Rattus norvegicus: one gene and its partner. The protein of the gene in region 1 interacts with the protein of each later gene in a pairwise test. Links are inferred from orthologs where the notes say so. Each region holds a gene or a part of one and is shown in the gene's direction. Other genes may lie near its edges. The genes, in order: Tbl1xr1 and Arl2.

The links.
Region 2: the proteins of Tbl1xr1 (region 1) and Arl2 interact in binary tests that used the Homo sapiens proteins (3 or more experiments, as listed by UniProt). The two-hybrid records come from large-scale screens. The link is inferred for Rattus norvegicus from reciprocal best matches to the Homo sapiens genes TBL1XR1 and ARL2.

Annotation. Positions count from the first base shown.
Region 1 is NC_086020.1:106,727,692-106,734,152, forward strand, and holds the start of Tbl1xr1 (F-box-like/WD repeat-containing protein TBL1XR1), read left to right. Parts: upstream 1-2,973; 5' UTR 2,974-3,087; intron 3,088-6,461. UniProt on the Homo sapiens protein: F-box-like protein involved in the recruitment of the ubiquitin/19S proteasome complex to nuclear receptor-regulated transcription units. Plays an essential role in transcription activation mediated by nuclear receptors.
Region 2 is NC_086019.1:212,864,703-212,870,498, reverse strand, and holds part of Arl2 (ADP-ribosylation factor-like protein 2), read left to right. Parts: exon of another isoform or gene 1-1,411; intron 1,412-2,884; exon of another isoform or gene 2,885-3,796; coding exon 3,797-3,907; intron 3,908-3,996; coding exon 3,997-4,159; coding exon of another isoform or gene 4,160-4,237; intron 4,238-5,529; coding exon 5,530-5,610; intron 5,611-5,796. UniProt on the Homo sapiens protein: Small GTP-binding protein which cycles between an inactive GDP-bound and an active GTP-bound form, and the rate of cycling is regulated by guanine nucleotide exchange factors (GEF) and GTPase-activating proteins (GAP).

The DNA of each region.
Region 1 (6,461 bases):
CCTTTTTTTGTTTTTGTTTTTGTTTTTGTTTTTGAGACAGGGTCTTAACTATATACAGCTCTGGTTAACCTGGAATTTGTTGTGTCGACCAGGCTGGTCTTGAACTCACAGAAATCCACCTGTCTCTGCCCCACAGGTGCTGAACGAAGGTCTGTGCCACCACAACACATGTTGGTATTTATTGTAGCTGGGTCTTTTTTAAAGTTGATAAAGAGGAATAGTTGTCCAGCAAGACCTCAGTATTTTTATTTCAAAGGCACTACTTTGTCAGAGGTTTGGTAATCAGGTGAAACCCGATTCTCGTCGGCTGGTAGTTGGTTTTAGTATTGTGGTAATCTTTGGTTTGGTAGGATTGTGTTACTGTGTGGATTCTGCCTGGATCTTATATAACATAGGGACTGTATTGACTCCATGGAAACATTAGATTTCTATTCTGCTTTTGGTTGCAGTTGCTATCACTTAGAGCTGTGTCACTTGTACTTACCCATTAGTAATGTAGACTGCTGACGCAGGGGCTGGCTTCCCAGTTATTGTGTTCCTCATTTTCAGCCCCAGCTGGAGTAACTTGAATACATGCTAAAGACTGTGGCACTGACAAGATGTATGTCAGCCTTCCTAAGGCCGTGCCCTCTCTCAGTGGTAACTGGAGACTGGACAGGGTCTGTTGGAATTGGCAGCAGACTTTACTCTAGCATGTTCCCAGCTCCAGGAAGTGCTGGCTTGATTCCTGTCCCTCCTATTTATCTGTGGATGGTTTTGTGAGATCACGTGATCCAGTTGGTTTGCACATCTGGTAGTGGAAGTAAAGGATAGCTTTGTTCACGGATTGGCTGTGAGGGCTGAAATGAGGATGCTTGTAAAGGAGTCAGTGTGGGGCTGGCAAGGAGGAGGTCTCTGTGCTGGCTGCTGCCTCATGCCCTAACATTAAAAGAGATGTTTTTAAAATATGATGTGTCTGTGCTGAGTGTGGGTTTGTGCATGTGAGTACAGTGTCCTCTGAGGCTGGGGAAGGGTGTCTTAGCTGTAGTCACACATGGTTGTGAGATGCCTGATGTGGGTGCTGAAGGCTAAACTCTGGTTCTCAGCAAACTGTCTCCACCCCCTGCTGGCCTTTGTATGGGAAGTAGCAGTATAGCCAAGAAGATTGGGCAGTGTAGAGTTTTTCTGTGTTTAAAATATGTAGGTATTTTTGGTGTTGATCCCCCCCCCCCCCCAGGTAGGTTTTCTGGTAGCCCAGTTTGGCAAATTGTTATGTAGTAGATACCTTGATATGCCTTGCCAAGTGCGAAGCTTATAGGAATCTGAAACCATGTTTGTCCCAGACACCCTGCTTTATGTTGTGTTTGCTAACACTGATGCTTCAAGAGGAAAGTTGCTAACGTAGTAGATAAGTTGCACATTTTCTCCACACCTGGGTCAGTCATTTCCCATGTATATGTAAATGCCATGAAAAACTATGATGTCATTGATTTTCATTCAACACTGGGCGAAAGAAACAATGCTGTTTGTTTTCGCAGAAGTAACTGAAATAAAGCACACGGGTTGTTGGTGCGGGGGAGCTGGGCTACAGTCATTTTCTGTACTTCTCCTGTTTGTTTGTCCCCCTCCCCCAGGTTTGGTTATATTTTCCCCCTGTATCTCCACCTCTTACCTTACTTCCCAACTTCATGTTTATTTGCTCGTGCTCCCCCCTCCCTCTTTCTCTCTCTCTCAAGTCACCTTTTTTTTTCTTACCCTAATTAGTCCAATTTCTGCTGCTCCTATACACATTGGTGTGGGGTCAGCCAGTGGAGCATTGCTGATCTACCCTTAGATAAAACTGGCTCTCCCTCTCCCAGAAGCCATCAACTGTCATTATCAGCTTTTAGGGGTGGGGGCTAATTAGCCCTTCTATACTGGAATATTGACTGGTTTTGATAATTATGCAAGTCTTACACAGGCAACCACAGCAGCGGAGAATTTGTGAGGGCATCAGTCCTTTCGTGTTTAGAGACACTGTTTAGTATAGTCCTGCTGAACCTCTGGTTCTCGCAGTCTTTCCCTACCCACTCATTCTTGATGCTCCCTGAACTTTGGGGACCCATAGATGGCTGAATACTCCACAGATCTGTATTCTGACCATTCGTGTATTAACTATCCTCCACTGCGCAAAGATGCTGTCTCCTAAGGTCTGAGTGCTGCACTAATGTGTGGGTACGGATATTTATCTAGAGCTAGTTTGATATTATATTCATTTAGCAATGTAATAGTATTTTCACCCCTGGTTTAGAAGCCATGGGTTCTTGGCCAACCTTAGAGTACCAGATAGAAGTTTCTTCCTGTGGAACTGGCCCTAGAACCAATTAAAGGAAAACAAGAAAAGAAAAAAGCCCCTGGCTACCCTTGTAACATAATGTGCCACTACTGTACCTCTAGGGACATCCTAACCCCGCTAGTTATTACTACAGCTCATGGGGTTCACAGTGAGACTGTTGAAGATGTTTCTTCTCCAGCAGCCTGGGTAACAACTGGCGGTACTATGACAGTGAGCAAGCAGGCAGAAGGCTTCCAGTCACCAGCTTCATTTCTCCATGGCCTATGACCATTCTTTTTAAACCTATAAATTGATTATAATATTTAATACTATTATTAATTCAGTGAAGTTGGGAACTGTGGATTTGAGATAATATAGAATATACTTTTCAATGTTTATGAGTTTAGAATCAGTATTCAGGATAGGAAGAAAGAAAGTTGACATTCTGAACTCAGACAAATCAATTATGATCATATTTATTGTTCCATGCCCATGACATTCTTCCGTAGCCCAGGCTAGTCCTGAGCTCATCTTCTTACCTCAGCTTCCTGAGTGTTGGCATCATAGGTGGGTCAGTGTGCCTGGCTTTTTCCTTAAGTCTTGTGTTGGGGTCCGTGAGCTGTCACTTTTTTCTAGACTAGATGTCTGCAGACACGTCCTTGATGCAGTTGTCTGTTTGTGACCAGGTAGGGCCTTCCTGAGGACACTTGTCTTACCAGTGTTTCACCAGGAGCTCCTGGTGAAGTACAAACTGCACTCTGTTCGTACTGAATTGGTGAGGCTTTCCAAATGATGTGTGCGGTTTCTGGTCCTTCCAGACCCTTGTCTCTTTGAAGGCCGTATAAGCCCAGAAAAGAGGGTGGCCTAGCAGTTCAACTCATTGTGTTCAAAGTATAAGATTATCCGAATCTGCTCGGGTGTCTGGTTTTGTAGGTTGGGCCACCTCTAGAATCTTTTTTGGGAGGTGAGGGGTTAGGATAAGCTGTTAAAACAAGAAATATTCCCACAACTGAGGTAAGGAAGACTTGGACCTGAGGTTAGTAGTTATAGCTGATTGAGTCATTGACTGGTCTGCCATGTTGGTTCCCTGTTCTTTGTAATCTGGTTCCCTGCTAAACCATTTCTCTTTGGTTCTGGTCTTTTTGTGAGCTCTTGGAGCACCATATACCTTAGGTGGCCCACCCTTTCACTGTGGTGTACACGTAGGGCTTTGAGGCTGTGCAGTGCACAAATTATTAATTCTGTTTCCTGCTAGCCCTTGAGTCACTTGCTGTGTCATGTAAGGAACTTTACTTTCTTCTCTGGTCTGTGTCGAATGTTGATTGATGGCAGAGTTCCTTCATTCATGATTATGAGTTGCAACAAAACAGATAGAAGAGAAAAGAGGATCAGAGTTGGGAGAAATAGAAGTAGCTCCCACAGTTGTGAGCTGGCCACATCCTTAGCTACTGATACAAACTTCCTAGATAATCCGAAACTTGGGCTCCTGGAGATGTGGGAGTAGAGGAATGTGTGGGGTGAGGAGCTAAGTGAGCTGTCAGGATCTGGCGTTTTCAAATCATACGTCAGAAGGGAACATCTTGATTATTTCTTCAGAACCAGATCTGCATTTGAGGAAACAGGGCTTCCAGTCTACGAATGAACTAAAGTGATTGCCACAATACTTCATTGATATTTTCAAAGAATTAGAAATTCACCAGTAAATTTTAAATTAGGAAGGATATTGCAATGAGAAGTCTGTGCTGACACTTTGCCCTGGTGGAAGTCAGGAGGGGTTAGTTCCTTTGGGCTCTTCCTTTTGTACCCTTTAGGTGGGTAATTGACCCCTTGTAGCTGTGCTCTGCTTGCTTGTGGATGTGCTTTTGCACTTGGCAGTTCTCAGTCTCTTTCCTTTTTGGGTCAGCTCTTGTGCAGAGCAGGCTGTGGTGCTTCATGACTCCTTTGTCTTTCTTGGGTTCCTTTGTCAGATGACGAGTGTACTGTTATCTTTAAGCAAACATTATGATGTTGGCCAGTGAGGTAAGTTTGCTTACCTCCAAGACTCATCGTAGTCTGAGTTGAGTCTGTAGGACTCACATGTTGAATGAGAGAAACAACTTCTCGAAGTTGTCCTCTGACCTGCCCTTGTGCATGGTGGGCAGCACTCCGTGCCCACATGCCCATATGACATCACACTTACGTGTACATGCTGTAACTTAATGGCTGTGGTGTGAAGCTGCCTGAGGGTTGAGTTGTCATGTGGTAGTAGGATGGACGCTGCTGAGTTCAGGAATAAAGGAAAGCTTAGACTCATTTACTTTACTCACTTCCTTTCCTTGCAAAATACTGCATATTTGTTATGGGTTTAAGTAGAGTGGAAATTTGAGGACAAGCTCAAAAGAATGGTTCAGGGTGTGGAAAACAGGGAAATTCTGTGGCGTTAAGGAGACAGCTGCTCTGGCTTCTGCACCCTCCCTCTCCTCGTTCTTATTTTGCCTGAGGAGGAACAGTAGAGCAACTCAGGAGGTTACTAAATTCTTCCTTTTCAGGGGTACACCCTCCCCCCTTTTCATTTTTGGGAGAGAGCCCCATACTATAGTCCTGCTGGCCTGGAAAATGATACGTAGACTAGTTTGGCCTTAAATTTGTAGTTAAGTCCCTGTCTTAGCATCGGCCTCCCTGGTGCTAGGGTGACTCTAAGGGATCCAGGCTTTTTGTCTTACTGCAATTCTGATATTCTGTTCAAGTCTTGTCCAGCAGTCAAACAGTGGTTTTATTTTTCTACCTGAAATTAAACATTTTTCTCCTGAGAAATTAGCCACTAAAATTTTTACTAGTGTTTTAATTTGGATTGTTAATTTTGGTAATGTTTGTTTTAAAGTTGTGTAAGGGTCCATGATTCGGCAAAGAATGATACCCTGAACTCTCAATAGTATGTAAATGCAGAGTGTTTTTTTTTTTTTTTTTTTTTCTACAGAAGTCCAGCATGCTGGGCTCTCCCATTACCAGAATAGAGCTTTTATGCCTGATTTAAAGCACATTAGGGCATTCCGGGTTTGGTGACCCTTATGTTAATCTGTTGGGTCCCATCTCTAAGGACATTCTCTTGGGGACTGTGGGGGCTGTAAACTTGCTGGGGGAAGTCTGGAAATGCTGCTGACCCATTGTCCTTGCCTCAGGCCAGGTGGTAGGGCAGCTTCTGAGGCCTGGGGTTGCCTGGAATTGCCCAGTTCTTGGATACAAATTTAGGCCTAGCCGCCTGAACTGCCAGTTTGAAGCCTGTCATGGAATCAGCCTAGTCTCCTTAGTTGTATGGGTTTTGAGTGCCCCATTTTTCTGTTTTAAATTCCTGTTGTCTTCAGCATTTGATTTTACGTAAATTGAAATTTTCCACCAGTCGGAGTTTGAGAATATGTAGCAGAAACACCTTCATGTGCTGCTGTGTGGCACTGTGGAGATGTTTGTTGACATTTGTTGCCTTCCTTTTCTATTTCCTCAAACTGGCCACAGTCTGTAATCTCAATAAGGCAGAGTCAGGAGGAGGATTGCAACCAGGAGCTAACCTGGTCTACTTAGTTAGTCCCGGATAGCCAGGACTACATGGTGAGATTTGGTCCCCAAAATTGAACCAACAAACAAAAAGGCTGAGTATGGTGGTCCGGTGGTCTGCACCTGTAATGCTAACACTTTGAAGGTGGAAGCAGGAGGATCAGAACTTCAAGGCTAGCTTTGGCTACAGAGCAAGCCTGGGCTATGTAAGACTATGGCACACAAAAGAACACTAAGACCACCATCACCACCACTACCACCAAAAATGTAATGAGAATAAAACACAGTGAATAAAAGCAAAGTGGGGACAGTTATTCTTTAGTATGCGAGGACTGACCTTTCCTGACTGCACATCTCAAACTTCACAGTGATTCCCCTCTGCACTGCTGAACAACCCTGGCAGCTCCGTACCCAGGGATGCTTTTGCTCCTGCCATAGCTGCTTTGTTCTTTGTATCAGGCTCTGCCCTGAGATAGGCATGCACACTGAAGTAGTGCTCGTCCCATGTGACGCTTAGGTTTCTTGTTACTATTACCATTTTACCATTTTTATGAAAAACATGGTGTGAGTGTTTTCTTCTACTGACACCTCCTCCTCCTATCTGCGTATTTAACCTGGATGAGAGCAGGCATGGGTTCTG
Region 2 (5,796 bases), on another chromosome or scaffold:
CACTATCTGTTCCACGAGATACTTGAGACCTGGGCCATAATATTTAGTTAGCAGGATCTTCTTTCTCGTTGAGGTGTACCAGAGTCTCTTCCTCGGCCTGGCTGGGTCATGTAGGGCCCTTAACAGAGCCAGAATCTCTTTTTTTTTTCTTGTCCTCAGATGTCAGCAGGCCCCTCTGTTGATGGGCTGTAGCAAAGGCATACGTGCTGTCCACATAGATGTTAAGTCTCTTTCTCAGCCCAAGGGCTTTGGTAAGGGGAGCGAGCTCTACTCTCTGAGTAGTGGTGCCTTCTGGTAGGGCCTGAGCCCATATGACTCTGTTTCCATCTACCACTGCTGCCCCAGCCCATCTTTTTCCTTCTGTAAGAAGCTGCTCCCATCTATGAACCAGATGGCATCTACCCCCTCTGTTGGCTGATCAGTCCGATCTTTATGCCACTCCTGTGCTTTAGTGAGCTCCTGTTGACAGTCATGAAGGGGGGTGTCTAGGTCAGGGTCCAGGAGCAGGGTTGCAGGGTTTAGACTCGTAGGGGCAGTCTGGAATCACAAAGAACAAGTGGGATACCCGGCCCACGCCAAGGTCCACTGTTCTTCGGGTAGTCCATGAGTATCATTTGTTGCCGGTAGTCCCCTGTACTCAAGGTCTTTTGCTGGACACTAGCCCATTTGGGCGTAGGAGCACAGAGTGTTGGGCCCCCGTATTCACAAAACAACTGGGCAGGCTTCCCTTCTATCTTTGCGGACAGCCAGCACTCTAGGACCAAGAGACTTGCCTTCCGGGCTGCTGGAGAGGCCCCTCTTGTTCTTCTTGGGGCAGTCCCTGACCCAGTGTCCTTTTTCCTTGCGATAGGCACACTGATCTTTAGCTAGGAATTCTCTTCTGTTGCCAGGTACTGTCTTCCTAGGTTCCCTAACTACTGTGGCCAGTATATATTCCTCTCCTGTCTTTTATCTCTCTTTAGCTCTCTAGCTTCTTTTTCCTTTTGTCTCTTTTCTTCCTTAGCTTCCTGCTCTTTTTACCTTCTTTCCTCTTTTTCTTCCTCAGTCTCTCTCTCATACCTTCTGCATCTTCTTCTACAGCTATTAGATGTTGTCCACTTATGTAACTACACTTTAACTTTATTTTTTCTGTAACTTACACTAACTCTCAGCAACTTAGCTTAACCCTTTAAATTTCTGTAACTTTCTCTCTTTATATCTTTTTTTTATCTTAGCCAGATTGGTGGGGCATTTTTTAGCCCCTCGGAGACCCACCCTTGGAGCCTGGTGGCAGACCTGGAGCACTCCCTACCTTCAGGGGTATTCAAGTCAACAGTCAGGAGTGAGGGTCTTCTATCCATGTCTGGAACATTCTTTTTGGCCTCTAGTAGGATTCCGTCTTTCCTCAGTGGTAAAGAAGACCTGTAACAGTCTAGAGAATAGAGGTCCACTGAAGAGGACAAATAGCATTTAGTCACACAGCTAAACCAGGAGGACTTTTTGGGACAAAAAGGCCGTTGTAAAAATAAGCACAAGCTTTGTGTCTGTGAAACAGAACGGCAAGCAGAGAGGGAGCTGATCTGTTACTGACTATCTCTCTGGACTTAAGAACTAATAACAAAAGGATGGAGAGATGGTTAGGACCTGGGTGCTAGATGCCAAGTGGCTGACAAAAGAATTGTAACCAGTTCACCTGGGACTTTCAGGACCTCAGTAGCAGCCCTTTACCAAACTGTCTCAGTGGGCTAAAGGTCCATGGAAAAGAAAACATTAATACTGACCTTGGCCACAGCCAAAGCTTGAATTCTAAATTTTGACTGGCAAAACAAAGTTCTTCACAGTTTGTTGTAGATTCCCTCTGAAACTATCTCAGGGGCTTCTCTGTCCCCCAACCTGGGGCATTTTGACCACAGGGGCAGGAACTGGCTGCTGTGGGGATAGGATCAAAGGCACTCTCCATGTCAATGATGACTAACAGGGAAGGTTATTTAATGTTGGAGATCAACTCCTCTCTTGGAATAGGGCCAGCAGATAAGGCAGGCTCCCTTCCTTAGAAGCTGTGAATGTTTAAGCAACAGGGAGAAATTTTTCTTCAGGATCCAAGGTAAAGCTTTCAGGCTCTTGTTAATACCTGCTTCAGACAGGGTCACTCACTAACCTGGAGTTCTTCATACACAACTGTTAACAGCAGCTAGACTGGACAAGGGGAGCAAAGGGAGGGGCATCTCTCCTTGGGGAGGAGGCTAAGAGAGAAAGATAAAACTCCCTGGCAGAAAACAATTTTTCTCAAGCAAATTATTTCCAAGTTAAGCACCAAGAGGACCAAGTAAAACTCCTTGACAAACAAAGCAAACAGTTTCATGATTTCAAACACAGTTGTCAGTCCAAGATTTTAAACACAGTCGTCTGTCCAAAGTCCAAAAACGAAACAAAAGCCAAAAAGACACTGGACAATACCACAGAAAACAAACCAGACAAACAAGACCAAGACAAAGCATCCTATAACCAATTTCCACAGATATTCAAAGAAAATTAGGACACAAAGAAGACAAACAATTTCAACAGTCAGACAGACAGACGCACCGCGCGGCTTCAGTGTCAAACTGAAACCAAAAATTCAGACAGAGGTGACGAGGGTCCGGATCCTTCAGTGGATCCGGCTCTCTCCTCTCTCCTCCAACCCAAAACCACGTATCCTTCCGATACAGGCTGAGCCCCGAAAAACCGGGCTCTAAACACCCTTGGAACGTCTTCCAGGGCTGCGGGGGAGAAGTCCGAGCTCGTCAGCTCCTTCTCTGGCCCGCCCAAATACAAACGGTCTAGACCCAAGCCAAGTAACTAAGCATTTACAGAACAAGTCACAAAGCAAGACAAGACAGGACAAGACAAACACTGGCCAGCTTACCTCCCGGTGGGTGGTCGGTGGTCTCTAGGCAGAGGATCTCCGATCCCGGACGAGCCCCCATATGTAAGACTCTCAGAGAGAATCTTCTCTCAGGAGGGAGATCCTCAAGCCCCAATGACCAGTCCGAGTCCACCGGCTGTAATCTGTAAGAGGATTTTTTATTGATCAGGGAGCACAGGTATCTGTGGGCGTCCCAGTCAATTTGGAAGACTGGTGCGCCTAGCAGAACCAGGGACGGGTTTTTATAGGGCATTGGGGAGCAGAAGCAGGCTTACAGAAGCAGATGCATGGTTACAGGGATGTGATTGGTGGAGTAAATGAGGCATACGTGTATGTTACCTATTTTGGCTATAATCATAACAGTGAGTTAGCAAAAAGTACATGGTGGTCAGGGCTTCCGGGGGGTCAGGGACTTTTTCTTTTTCTTGTCAGGTGGCCCATGGAGCAGTGCCCATAATTTAGTCTGGTTTCTGTATTTTGTTTTCTTTTCTGGTCTGTTTCGTCTAAATGATGGGTCAGCTTGTCCCACATATCTAAAAACTTATTTTTTACTTCTATAGTTGAGGGCCTTGGGCTTGTATAATTCCCTTTCTGGGAGGGGGTCTTTTAATTTAGTCATTTTGCTAGTGTGTGTTTCATAAGGGTGGTGGCTTTGTCCACTAACAGCTGAGGGGGCCTGGCACTTAGTAGGCACTCAATATTTGGTGTGTAAATTAAGTTACTTTGAGATGGCCGACATGATAGAATTCCATTTTCATACTTCCACATTTATCTCAGTCCAATTATGGGTGAGGTGTGTGCTCAACTTGCTTCAACATGCAGTAGGGAAATACCAGTCCCTAGGAGAGTGGTAGGGTGATGACATGTCCTCCAGGAGAGCTCAGGGACATCTCCTTAGCCTGTGTACCCCAGTGGCTTGGACAATGCTGGCAAAACAACCATCCTCAAGAAGTTCAATGGAGAAGATGTGGACACCATCTCGCCAACACTGGGCTTCAACATCAAGACCCTGGAGCACCGGGGGTGAGTGGGGTCACTGTGGGCCATTGTGGGGCTGGGAGGAGGCTGGGAGGGCAGGACCAGCCTGACCTCCATTGTCCCTTCCTTCCCAGATTCAAGCTGAACATCTGGGATGTGGGTGGCCAGAAGTCTCTGCGCTCCTACTGGAGGAACTACTTCGAGAGCACAGATGGCCTCATCTGGGTGGTGGACAGCGCTGACCGCCAGCGCATGCAGGACTGTCAGCGAGAGCTGCAGAGTCTACTGGTGGAGGAGGTGTGCCCTGTGCTCACTGGCAGCCAGGCCACAGCCTGCCACAAGTGCCATGGTTTACTGGGACACTCAGGGAGGGAGGTAGGGGTCCACTCACTTAGTGGGCCCTGAGCTGAGACCTGGACAGACGCACATCTCTGCTTTTACTGGTTCACCTCCCACCTCCCTGAGTTTCAGTCCCATTGCTGCAGGGGCCTCAAGGCTAGGGTGCCAGCAATGCTCAGGGGGGCAGTGAAGCTTACACAGGAATCTAACCTTGTTGTGTGGCTTCTGGAAGACCCTTAACCTGAGCCTTAACTCCCACATTCCTAAAGCAGTGATTAGGCCAATCTTGCCATTTGTTGTCTGGATCGAAAGACTTGTTATGTTGACAACAGAGTTTTACTCATCTCAGGCTGGCCCAAACTGGCTAACACTGTCCTTGAAATCCTGGTCCACCTGCCTCTACTTCCCAAATGACGTGCGTGCCACACTCCTTCATTGTTGGCTACTCATTTGTTTGGGCAGGTGTTTTGGTTTTGGGCTTGTTTGTTTGTTTGGCAGCAGAGTTGGGGTAGGTGTTTGAGATCAGGTTTCCTTATGTAGTCCAGGCTGGCTCCAAACTCTTTCTCCTCCTGCCTTAGCCTCCTGAATGCCAGGCTTACAGTGGGCACCCCTTAGCCATGCTCAGGCATTACTGTTACCTTCAGCTGCTAGTTTTATTTGGACACTGCTCTGTCTGCCCTGGAACTTGGATCATGTTGCCACATTTCAGTTAGTTGAAGGCCAGGGCACTTTTGCGAGAGTAAGAGGGAGTTGCTAATGGCTGTATGGGAACCACAGGGATGCATGGGACTTTAGGTTTACACATGCCCCTGGTATGACTTCAGCCCCTTCTGTAGCATTGAACAGGTCTAGAGAGGTCATTGTTGTCAGAGGCTGAGTCAAGGCTCAGCAGGGCTAGGCCCAGAAGTTAGATTTCTGTTTGCACCAGGAGAGGTTCCAAAGACTAGCACACCAAGGGGATTAAGTAGAGAGACCAACAGGGCCGTCTGCTGGAAGTAAAACACAAGGATTCTGTGAACTGGGAGGACAGGGCAGGTTGTTTTATCCCAGTCCCCAGGGCAGCCCTCAGCACACCTATGCTTTCTGCACATGGCCAGAGCTACAGAGGGCTTGGGGATCATTGTGGGCAACATCCTCTTCCTGAGGCTTGGAAGAGAGAGATACCCACTGTGTGGTAGCATCAGTAGCCCTGTCTACTGCCTGCCCCCTGTGGGCCTCCTCCACAGCCTGGAGCTCTCTTACTGACCACCAACCTCATGTCTTATACCAAAGGGATCAAGCTCTATGTGAAGCTTCCCCCACCCCCAACCCATCTTCTCTTTCCCCAGCGCCTGGCTGGAGCGACCCTCCTCATCTTTGCCAACAAGCAGGACCTGCCTGGAGCACTGTCCTGTAATGCTATTCAGGAGGTGAGTCAGGCCCTGGTTCAGGTCCACTGAGTAAAGCTGAAGGGTCTTTAGGACTTTATTATTTTGATTTTACTGTTGTTTTGTTTTGTTTTTTTGAAACTGGGTCTTGACAGCCCTAGAAGCTTCAGACTTACTAGGAAGCCGAGGATGACCTTGAACTACTCACTCATCCTCCTGCCTCCGCCT